Linked DNA regions of Callithrix jacchus. The protein of the gene in region 3 purifies or fractionates together with the protein of the main gene of each other region. This does not show direct contact. Links are inferred from orthologs where the notes say so. Each region holds a gene or a part of one and is shown on either strand. Other genes may lie near its edges. The genes, in order: CHD1L, LIG3 and APLF.

Region 1 (3,655 bases), on a different chromosome or scaffold from region 3:
TTCAAGTAAACTACTCTGTGTCACACAGCTACCATAAAATCTTAAACTTTTCTGGTTTTGGCCAGGTTTTGGCCAGTAACCTCCCAGCACTTTGGAGGTCAAGGCAGAAAGATAGCTTGGGTTCAGGAGCTTGAGGCAAGCCTGGGCAACAAAATGAGACTGTCTCTACAAATAATAAAAAAATTAGCCACCCATGACAGCACACACCTGTGGTCCCGGCTACTAGGGAGGTTATGGAGGGTAGATCACTGGAGCATGGGAGGTTGAGGCTGCAGCGAGCAGCAACCGTACCCACTGTACTCCAGCCTGGGTGACAGAGCAAGAATCCATCTCAAAAAAATTTAAAAAATTCTAGTTTCAATGGAATCCATCTTCCCTGCCTCACGCACTTGGGACTTTTCACTTACAGTAAGCATTTAAAAAGTATCCTGTTACCAATAGGAACAAGCTTAAAAGAAATCTTCTGTATTTTTAAAGTGATGCTCAACTGTGGTCTCACTACATGAGGGACTCTTTTACCAACTGTGGTCCGCAGCTTGGTTAATGCACACATACTTTTTCTTATGCTGAGCATCTTCCTTTTGCCTCCTCTTCTCCTCGATGATTCTCCTTCTCTTAGCAGCTGCTTCTTGTCTTTTCTTCTGCCTGTCCTCCAGCTCTTCAGGGCTCAGAACCCGCTTCCTTTTGGTAGATCCCTCCACAAGGCCTGGGATGAGAACCTAGAGTAGGAACAAGATCCATCACCAGGGTCAAGAATGTTCCTCCCTACGTTTCATTATCCCCACAGCACACTGTACAGAAGCAACATGCTTAATATTTCAGAGAACACTGCATCTCCACCCACCCACCCTGCATGGTGGGAACTGAAGGCAAAGCACTTGAAGGCACAGTTCATATTACACAGTTCACAGGCAGTGACCAGGATACCCTGCTCTTAACTCAGCCGCAGCACTGACATGGTGGAAACAGTCATTTTGATTCATTTCATTAGGAATAAGTTACTTCAGAAAAGTAACTTTTTTCCTTGACTGAAAGCATACCCTGAAGGATGCCACTTTAGCCATTTTTAATGAAAACCTTTCTGCAATGTATTATATAGTTTTGTTAAGACTATATTTTAATATCATGATTATCTTAGTAATAGCATTTAATGAGCACATATTAACTGCCAAACACTGTGAACATTACATATATCATTTATGATTGATATCCTCTCCTATTGCCATAGGGTCATAATTACCAACAGCAGGATATGGTACTTTAGTATAATATAGGGATGCTTTTAGGGGTGATTTGGATGGACAAGGCTGCTTTCACCTGCACTAAATCGTACAATATATTCTCTCCTTCTTAATGTTTTTCTATGCTGACTTTTTACCATAGTTTTTATACCAGGGTATGGTTAATTATATTAACATTTCAACAAACACATACTTATTTCTTGACAAGTTAACCTACGAGAACAAAATGATGCCAGCATCATTTATGTTTTGTTTTCTTAGAACGAGAGTTTGGAAGAAGATCTTTTAAATAAATTAACAGTTCTTACACTGCCTTTATTTCGGAGTGATCGGCCCTCTTGAGTGGTTTTCTCCAAAAGGGTTTTCTGAAGGTTTACCAGTTGTTCAAATGATTTTCTGTCTTCCTTACTGGGCTCTTTAGAGTAATCTTTCCCTTCAAATAAGTACATATGATTTTCTAACAATATAGAACACAAAGAGAGAAGTGTTAGATACCAAGGAAAAACAGATTAATGCTATTCAAAGCAATAACTAGAGTGGATAAGAAAACAGCCTATATTCTAAATGAGCTAAGACTGGATGAAGGTATTTCGTTTCTCATCCCCCTGACACTAAAGTAAGTAGGTTCTACGTAAGGATCCCATGTGTTTACTCTTCCAAGGGGACAGCATGGCTTAAATCCTTTTGGTTCATCTCTACATGGTTTGTGAATCTCTGGCGGATTCCTCCATTTATTCCTCATTCATTCATTCATTCATTCATTCCCAAGTATTCCTCAGCACAAATCTCAGTGACATTAAGATCATCCAATAAAATCTATACGTTTTATTCCAAATACACTTTTAGTATTCAACTTGGCAAATCTAAGAATCATAAAAATAATCCCTTGGATTTACAATATTCCTTACAGATCTCATCAAGCATCTTCATGATCCTCACCACAATCCTGGTATATAACTAATCCTACTTTGGAAGGGGGAACTGAGGGTTGGGCAGAAATTAAGGGACTCTATAATTCTCACTGGTAATAAATGAAGAGGCAGGATTTTCTGATTCTAAGGCCAGTGTGCTCTTTTCAGTATGTAACTGTGTCTCTAGAAGGGTGGAGAGAAAACGTGCTAGCAAATAATAATTATTGTAATAACAACAGCAGTGAAGATAACAGTGTAATTTTGAATAGCACTGCGTGCTATCAGATCACTTCCACAACTATTATCGTGTCTGATTTTTCCAACTGTGTAAAAGAGTAGAGTAGACATTAACAGGACCCTTCTACAGATGAGAACACAAAGGCTCAAAGAGGCTGAGTGATCTGCCAAGATCATGAATAAAGTGATGAAGGAAAGTCAGGACCAGTCCAGACTAGCAACCACAGACAGGTAAGGTAATGATTCAACAGGGAAGCATATTTAGTAGCACAAGTTACCAAATAATGTATTTTCACATTTCTGAAATCTGCTAAGTATGTTTTCCCTAGAGAGTATGAAAGCAAAACATTTTCATTCTCAAGAGATCAATTGCTTCACACTTGTACCCAAATCTAACCAGCTGTAGTTGTAATTGGCGTTGCTAATTAAATCAGCAGGGGGCTTTCAATGAAGCACTTTATCAACAAGTAAAAGAAAAACAGAGCTGAGAAGTGTCAGATATGATCAACATATGTAGCTTCATACTGCATGTGATTCTCAACTTCCAAACATGCTTTTTAACCCTGGCATTCAAGATAAAGCAACCCTGTTTTTTATCTAATTCTGATGGGGGCCACGTGAATTACCAATCTTTCCTATCCATTTATATTCTTTGTAATCATGCTCCCTATCTTCACTCTGCCACCGCCTGGACCCGTATCTGTATTCTACCAGGACAATCATTTACCACAGAGCGAACTTATACCCATTCTTCAAAGAGAAAATCCCCAAGTTTAATACAACTGGCGAATTTTTCTGGCAGTTGGACTGTCTAAAAAAGTAAAATTATTTTAGGCAGTTGGATTGACTGAGAAATATAATTATCTTTCTGGAAAAGTGTGCGACTTTATTTTGTTCTAGTAAACGTTAGCAAAATAGGCTGAAATTATCTAGATAAGTACAGAAACGAGTGTAAGCGTTGCTACTCAATATAATCAATTGTAACTTAAAAATATGATTACATGCATCTATTTCTTCTCTCACCTGAAACCACCAAGTGACACTTAAAGGGATTTTTAAAAAGATATACAAGGCAACGGTGGATGAAAAAGTTCAATGACCTTTTGGAAAATGAAAAGTGGCTGGAGGAATAATAACAGATTAAGAAGAGCCATGGAAGCAAACACAGGTGCCTAGCCAAGGGCTCATTATGAGTCTAGAGACCCTCTCAATCCCCCAAGAGCTTAGGGCTTACAAGTGCAGCATACTGCACGGGGCAGAACTGAG
Region 2 (3,655 bases), on a different chromosome or scaffold from region 3:
AAATTGCACCCCTGAATATGCCTCGAGATGAAAGTATGGAAGAAGGGAGATGTCACGCATGGATCTCCCTTCTTGATTCTTACAACTATTTGTTCAAAACACTGCAACTTCATAGAACACAGCAGGAAGGAAAAACAAGATCTGAAGGATATTGCTATTTGTTATTGATATATGCTATTACTATCTGAAGGAGGCAGTAAAGCCCAAGGATGAAGCTTGCATACTTTGGAATCAGTGAGCTCTGGATTCAAATCCCATTTCCTAAAGGGGAGGATTGTGGCTATTATTTGTATATTCTTGGCAGGATAGATGAGCAATAAAGTGTTAAGTTTCCTCTTCTCTTCACTATAATATACATGCACACACGTGTATACACACATATATGGTTTCTTTTATATAAAATATTAAATTGCTATTTCATAGAGATTCAGGAAGACTTTGCTGGGGCATGTGGTGTAAATGAGAGTTGAGAAGATCGGGATCATTTATTGGCCTTATGTAAACAGACAGCATTGAGCTAGGTGCTTTTACATATGTGGTTTCATTTGTTCTCCAGTTAACCCTAGAGAGTACATTTATTTAGAAAGGCCCTTTTTTATGACTGAGAAAGTTGAAGTTCAGGGTCATTATGGAGTTAGCATTTGCACAGAAGTCTTGCTCCAGTACCTGTGCTCTTTTACACTGCACTTTTTTGCTGCTTTTATTGCTTGGAGATGTTCTTGTGATTGACTCAGTTGAAGAAAATAAAGTCAAACCACTTGGCCTTATTGTAGAAGTCATTTGGAAATTTTTTTGTCTTTTTTTTTTTTAATATTTTTTATTTATTTTTTTAATATAAAGACGGGGTTTCACCATGTTGGTCAGGCTGGTCTTGAACTCCCAACCTCAGGTGATCTGCCCAAATTGGCCTCCAAAGTACTTAGATTATAGGTGTGAGCCACCACGCCTGGCCATCATTTGGAAATTGAAAGACACTTTATGTGATTGAAAGAAGCCTATACCTGAGGTCAGAAGACTTGGGTTCTGGTCCTGGCACTACTCCTTGACAGCTCAGAGCCCTTAGCAAGGCCTCACCTCTCTTTAGCCTCTGGCTATGAAGAGCAGTGGCCTCTCCTACCATAGTGATATGTGCAGCATACTATGGGAGCATAGGCAGCAATATATAGATGACTTTCCCCTCTGCTTCCTTGAGTTTATGTACTTATTTGTTTAAGCTCCATCATATCTCCATGCTTCATCTACCCCATAGTGTTCTCATGAGGTCTATAAGAGATAACATTGCAAAAACGGTGCCTGGCTCTACAGGATTTTTATTATTTTAAAATTCTGAGGTTGGTTGGTTTGTTGTTTGCTGGTAGACCAAAGATATAGAAGAGTCCAGGTGAAATAAGGACAGCATATTTCTGGAAGGGCCTTAGTGTTGGGGATGGAATTTGGGAGGAGTTGAGAGAAACAGGGTGTTTTAGTTCTTGCAACCTGGTTGAACATTGGCACTTTGGAGACTGTCCCTTAAAATCGTATTTAGATTCCGGGTCAGAGATGAGGATGGATTTATAATTTACAAAGCCCAGACAAGAAGCAGCTTACAACAGCACCCAGCTTAGTAATGACCGTGTCATAAGCTTACAGAATAAAATTTGCTTCTTAAATGGTCACAAGGAGGTGAGAGGGAATCATTGATGAGTTGTGCATAATTATTTTTAACTGTCTGGAGGAAAGCCCTGCCCCTTGACCACATTTTTTAAAAAATTATTCATTTATTTTTTAATAACTGCTCCTGGGGAGCAGGGTTTTATTTTGGCAATAAGAAAAGAAAGGTTAAAGCAGTGAGGGTCGGGATGTTGAGTGTACTTGTGGGATGTGACTTTCTTAGTAGTGTCTTTGTCCTGGCTCTTTCAACGAGCAAGTGGGCCAGGAAGTCATTTGCTCTTCTCAGACGTCAGCCCCCTCATCAGTAAAAGAATGTCGAACTAGATAATCTTTAAGGCTTCTTCTAGCTCTGACAACCTGTGAGAGCGGTAATTTCACATGGACTAACGTGTACCTTGATTTCTTACCCCTTTCTTATGCCTGCTTTTCTAAGGTGAGCTTTACAATTGCTCTGAGATCCTTCTGACCACTTGATTGATTGATTGAGACAGGATCTTACTATGTTGCCCAGGCTGGTCTCCAACTCCTGGACTCAAGCAGTCCTCCCGTGTTTGCCTCCCATAGTGTTAGGTGTGAGCCACTGGGCCCAGCCGGTCCTGATCATTCTTGCATGACTTCAGTCTATTCTTTTGTGAAGTGCTCACATAAAGAGATGCATATCAGTCTGGTCCTTTGCTTGGGTCTGAGGAGGACATTGTTCCTTTACCATTAATTAATAGCTGTAAGATTTCGGAAAATTATTTGACCTCCATTTCTTTATCTGTAAGATGGGTCTGATGTCATCTACCCCAAAGGTCTCTTCAGGGAGAGTAAATGAAGCTAAAGTACCGGCAGAATGTCTTTCTTCCCAGAAAGGCTGAATGAATTCATCTCTGTTGTTTCTCCAGCAGCCAAACCCAACACCTCTGGGGAAGCCCCCTCAAGCCCCACCCGTAAGACAAGTCTGTCTTCAAGCAAATGTGACCCCAGGCATAAGGACTGTCTGCTACGGGAGTTTCGAAAGTTGTGCGCCATGGTGGCTGATAATTCTAGCTACAACACCAAGACCCAGATCATCCAGGACTTCCTTCGGAAAGGCTCAGCAGGAGGTGTGGCATGAGCATCCTGAATAGGCTTTTACTCCAAGAGCTCAAGGCCATGGCTGCCTTCCTGGGCATGTGAGCTGTACAGTTGCTCAGGGTCCCATGCTTGGATTAATGCTTTACTGTAGTGCTGTCTTGAAATTCTTATTGATTTTGAACAAGGGGCCTCGCATTTGCATTTTGCACTGTACTCCACAAATTATGTATTCAGTTTTGCTCAGAGCACTTTGGCGTCTTTCTTCCTCTCCCCTTAGTCTGCCCCTAGGAAGCCAGAGAACCCATTCTATTTGACTAGTTAGAAAATTTACTGTCCTGCATATTTAATTTGGTTTTTGTGAACCATATACACAGCTTGAAATAGAATCTTCCAACTCTGTTTCTTTCATTTATCTAACAACTTGTCACTGAGCATCTGTAATGTCCTTGTCACTGGGCATGCGAAATGAAAGTAACCACCCTGTCCAATGAGAGTTCATCTATAGGCTAAAGGTGAGGCAGACACACAATCCACCAGCCTCTGAACTCTGTGCTTTCTCCTACTGTAGCGATACACACAGGTTACTATAGGAGCATGGGCAGTGATACACAGATATGTTTTGGTCTCTGCTTCTTTGAGTATTTATTTATTGAGACAAAAAATGTGACTGTGTTGCTCAGGCTGGAGTGCACTGGTACAATGTCAGCTCACTGCAACCTCCACCTCCTGTGGTAAAGCAGTCCTCCTGCCTCAGCCTCCCAAGTAGCTGGGACTATAGTCATGTGCCATCATGTCTGGCTAATTTTTGTATTTTTTGTAGAGAAGGGGTTTCACCATTTTGCCCAGATTGGTGTCTAACTCCTGGATTCAAGTGATCTGCCTACCTTGACTTCCTAAAGTGTTGGGATTACAAGCATGAGCCACCACACCAAGCCTGAGTTTATTT
Region 3 (3,655 bases):
AATTCACTTTTAATGAGGACAATTTACACACAGTAGAATTCAACCCTTTTGAAAGTGCAATTCAATACACTAAAAATGATAATATAGTCATTTAAAATACTACCAGAGTGAGATATAGAACATTTCCATTTCCCCACATATTCTCTCATGGCTCTCTGTAGTGTGTCCCTTCATTCCACTACAAATCCCTGGCAACCATTAATATGGTTTCTGTCCTTGTAGCTTTGCATTTCAGGATGTTATATAAATGGAGTAATACAATATGTCTTTTGTGTCTGGCTTCTTTCACTTAGCAAAATGCCTTTGGGGTGCATATGCATTCATACACACATCAATAGTTCATTCCTTGTTATTTCTGAGTAGTAGTTCGTCTATAGTTTCAAATTTTCAAAAAGGCAAATTTGTTGGATCATGTCTATGCATACCACATAAATAATAATGACCCAACAACTTTGGATGACCTTACTGCATATTGCAGAGAGTATGAGGTAATTGGTTCTCCTAGTATGTCCCACATGTGACCATGGATGTTCCTGTGCCAGAACATTTGGCTTGTAGCTATACTGCAGTTTGGGGATACTTCATAAGTAGCCCTATTAATACTTGCCTGAACTTCGGTAGCAGCTGTGTGTCAACTGAAACTCAGGATTTTATTTATTTTTTTCTCTAAGAGTCTAACTAGCTTAACTGACACCATTGCAGTTTACATGATCTCTCTGAAGGCTGGATGGTGGTCTTAATTTTTATGGACTATCTGCACAAATATCAAATAAAGAGCTTGTAAGCCTTGAGAGAGAAGGCTGCCACACATCTCATAAGTAATTGGGGTTTCTAGACCCATGATTTGGAAAGATTGATGAATTTCATGGCTAGCAGGTAGGAAATAAAGAACATACTGTAGTCTATATCTTTGATTCTAGTATACTATAATCTGCTTTTTTTTGTTTTTGCTAAGTCTGAGAAAAGGGATGTAACTCAGATGTAGTCTGAAAGCAGCAGAAATGTATTAAAATTTAAGACAAGTTTCTATTTTATCTTATAGAAACAGTCAAATGCTTGATGAAGATAATGTATTGAATGAAACACCAAAATCCCCTGTTATTAATTTATCTCATGAGACTACTGGTGCCTCACAACTGGAAGGAAGTGCAGAAATAGCCAGGACCCAGATGACTACCACAAATAGTGTGGTGAGAAATTTGAGATCTCATTCATTGATAACATGTTCTTCAAGTTATTATAAAGGCAGAAAAGACAACTGAAATTAGATCTATTATGACAGTATTGCTAGCATTTATCAACTTTTGCTGATTTTAAGTTAAGCTCTAGAGAATATGGCAGTAGTCCAGCATTTAATAGAAATAATTAATTTCTTTAAGAAATTTGATGAACTCAGTATACAGTTGCATATGGGTGTTTTAATGGTAGCATTCGGTAAACCAAATATTTTACAAATTCATTAAGGATGTATGATTATTTTTAGTAATTTATAGGTGTCTTTTTAGTCTTTCCTAGGTGAATGTAGAGACTTCAGTAAGCAGCAGCCAGTCCTTGCTGAGAGGAAAAGAATCCTTCCAGCTTGGATGTTAGCAGAACATTTAAGTGATCAAAACCTTTCAGTACCAGCAATCAGTGGAGGTAGGTTTTTGTTTCTACTAATGCTGCCTTTCAAGAAAATATTAAACAGAATTTGAAAGTTTTTCTGAAGAAAATCTATGAACTGTCTCTATAGCGATAGAGTTTTATAAGTGTATAGCTTAGCCTAGTGTTTTTTAGATGTGAACATGAAGTCTAATTTAAAACATAAGCTATTACCATTTATCAAATACCATTTATACTATTTATTAAAACACTTGTTTTCATTTAACAAGTGCTATTATGTGCTAGAATTATATTAATAAAGACTTTCAAAGAAACCTCTTGGTGCTATGTCTGGGATAAAAGGCCAGCACAAGAAGAATGTTTAAAATTAATGTTTAAAAATGCCAGATGAATTGATATACCTTCAAGTTTACTGATTGTTTTTTCTGCCATCTCTAATTTGCTGTTAAGTCTATTTAGCAAATTATTAATTTTAGTTACTGTACTTTTTAGTTCTAAAATTCCTATTTGGGTTTTTTTTGTATAGTTTATGTTTCTCTGATAAGATTCTCTATTTATTCAATCTTTTGTATATTTTTCTGGAAGTCTTTGATCATATTTATAATAGCTGCATTAAAGTCTGCATCTGTGCACAACTTTGTCATTTCAGACTTATTTTTTATTGACTGCTTGTTTTTTATAGGGGTCACATTTCCTGTGTATTCTGTGCCTTGTGATTTTCTGTCGATATTGGATATTGTGGATGATACATTGCTCTTAATTATGTTATATTCCTCAGAAGAAGTATTTTTGTTGTAATAGCAATTAATTTGGCTGGATTCAGAGTCTACACTGTTTCACCTGTTATGGATGACAGCTGCAGTCTCTATGTAGTTCTTTCACTTTCTAGCTGCTGCATTTTTCTCTGAGTCACTGGGGTTGGCCCCATGCAAATGTAGTCTAGCAGTCAACCAAGAATTTGGGTCAAGTTTATAGGTAGGTTTTTTGCTCTTGCCCCTTCTGAGGCTGCCTTCCCTCCAGGATTTTATCCCTCACCCCTCTCTCTCTCTTCTAGCCTTAAACTCTCTGCTCTGACCATTTAAACCAGTAAGGTTTCTGCCACAAGTGAATTGGAGAATGCCCTCAGGAAAAAAGTCACAAGTTCACAAACCTCATAGGTTATAGTTAATTTCATCATCGACGCTTCTTCAACTCTGCCTCTTTGGTCAATCTCCAGTGCCTACAGATAGTTTAAATATTTTTTTATCCTGAATTTATAATGATTTTATTTGCAGTAATTAGTTTAGTTATGCTATTTTGCCATTTTACCTTAAACATTATTTTAAAAAAATTAACAGCACAAATGAATACACATTTTAGTTGGAAAGTTATACTCTTGGTGCTTTGTGTATTTTGCATAGTGGTCATAGAATTCTTCTAACATTTCGGATTAAATATTTTATTCACAGAATTTATCTTATTTAACGCTAGTTTGGATTATACTAGGATCAAAGTGTTCTCATGGGAAAAGTATAGTATACGTTATGTGTTAAAGGGGACGTGGTTTAATCTGGAGATTTGCAGTAAGTTTTATTCAAGTACAGTTGTTTTCAGTTCTCCCCACCCCCACAATTCATGTTTAATATATATATGTATTTTTATCAGTAACATCTCTGGCTGTATGTGTTGATCCTCAATTTGTAGGAAGGATGTGGGGAATGATAGTGGGGAGGTGCAGGCACTTTCCCTCAGTAGGACAGTTTCTCTGATAAAAGAAAGACTTGACCAAAAATTGGACCAATGTGACCTGGTCTCTGCAAACAACTCCTTTTCTTTCCGAGTTGTTTTACACTGCAACTGCTTCTGTGCTACCACTTATAGTAGTTCAACATGTATTTTGTTTCAGATACATTTTCTTTCACTTGATAGATGTTCCATATAAAATATGAAGCATCTTTTTGGGCACTTCACTTTGAAAATACATAATGAGAGTAATTTGACCTTGGTCTGGAATATTACATGTGTACAACGTACTTAAAATGCTAAAGCTTCAAAATAAGATAGAAAAGTCTTT

What was found.
Region 1: the proteins of APLF (region 3) and CHD1L purify together in Homo sapiens (affinity purification with mass spectrometry; 4 studies listed by BioGRID and IntAct, counting the BioPlex papers as one, with this or other methods). This does not show direct contact. The link is inferred for Callithrix jacchus from reciprocal best matches to the Homo sapiens genes APLF and CHD1L.
Region 2: the proteins of APLF (region 3) and LIG3 purify together in Homo sapiens (affinity purification with mass spectrometry; 3 studies listed by BioGRID and IntAct, counting the BioPlex papers as one, with this or other methods). This does not show direct contact. The link is inferred for Callithrix jacchus from reciprocal best matches to the Homo sapiens genes APLF and LIG3.

Annotation. Positions count from the first base shown.
Region 1 is NC_133519.1:7,397,155-7,400,809, reverse strand, and holds part of CHD1L (chromodomain-helicase-DNA-binding protein 1-like), read right to left. Parts: intron 1,699-3,655; coding exon 1,550-1,698; intron 720-1,549; coding exon 556-719; intron 1-555. UniProt on the Homo sapiens protein: ATP-dependent chromatin remodeler that mediates chromatin-remodeling following DNA damage.
Region 2 is NC_133506.1:99,179,121-99,182,775, reverse strand, and holds part of LIG3 (DNA ligase 3), read left to right. Parts: intron 1-2,537; coding exon 2,538-2,738; intron 2,739-3,655. UniProt on the Homo sapiens protein: Isoform 3 functions as a heterodimer with DNA-repair protein XRCC1 in the nucleus and can correct defective DNA strand-break repair and sister chromatid exchange following treatment with ionizing radiation and alkylating agents.
Region 3 is NC_133515.1:45,393,553-45,397,207, reverse strand, and holds part of APLF (aprataxin and PNK-like factor), read left to right. Parts: intron 1-1,042; coding exon 1,043-1,190; intron 1,191-1,505; coding exon 1,506-1,638; intron 1,639-3,655. UniProt on the Homo sapiens protein: Histone chaperone involved in single-strand and double-strand DNA break repair.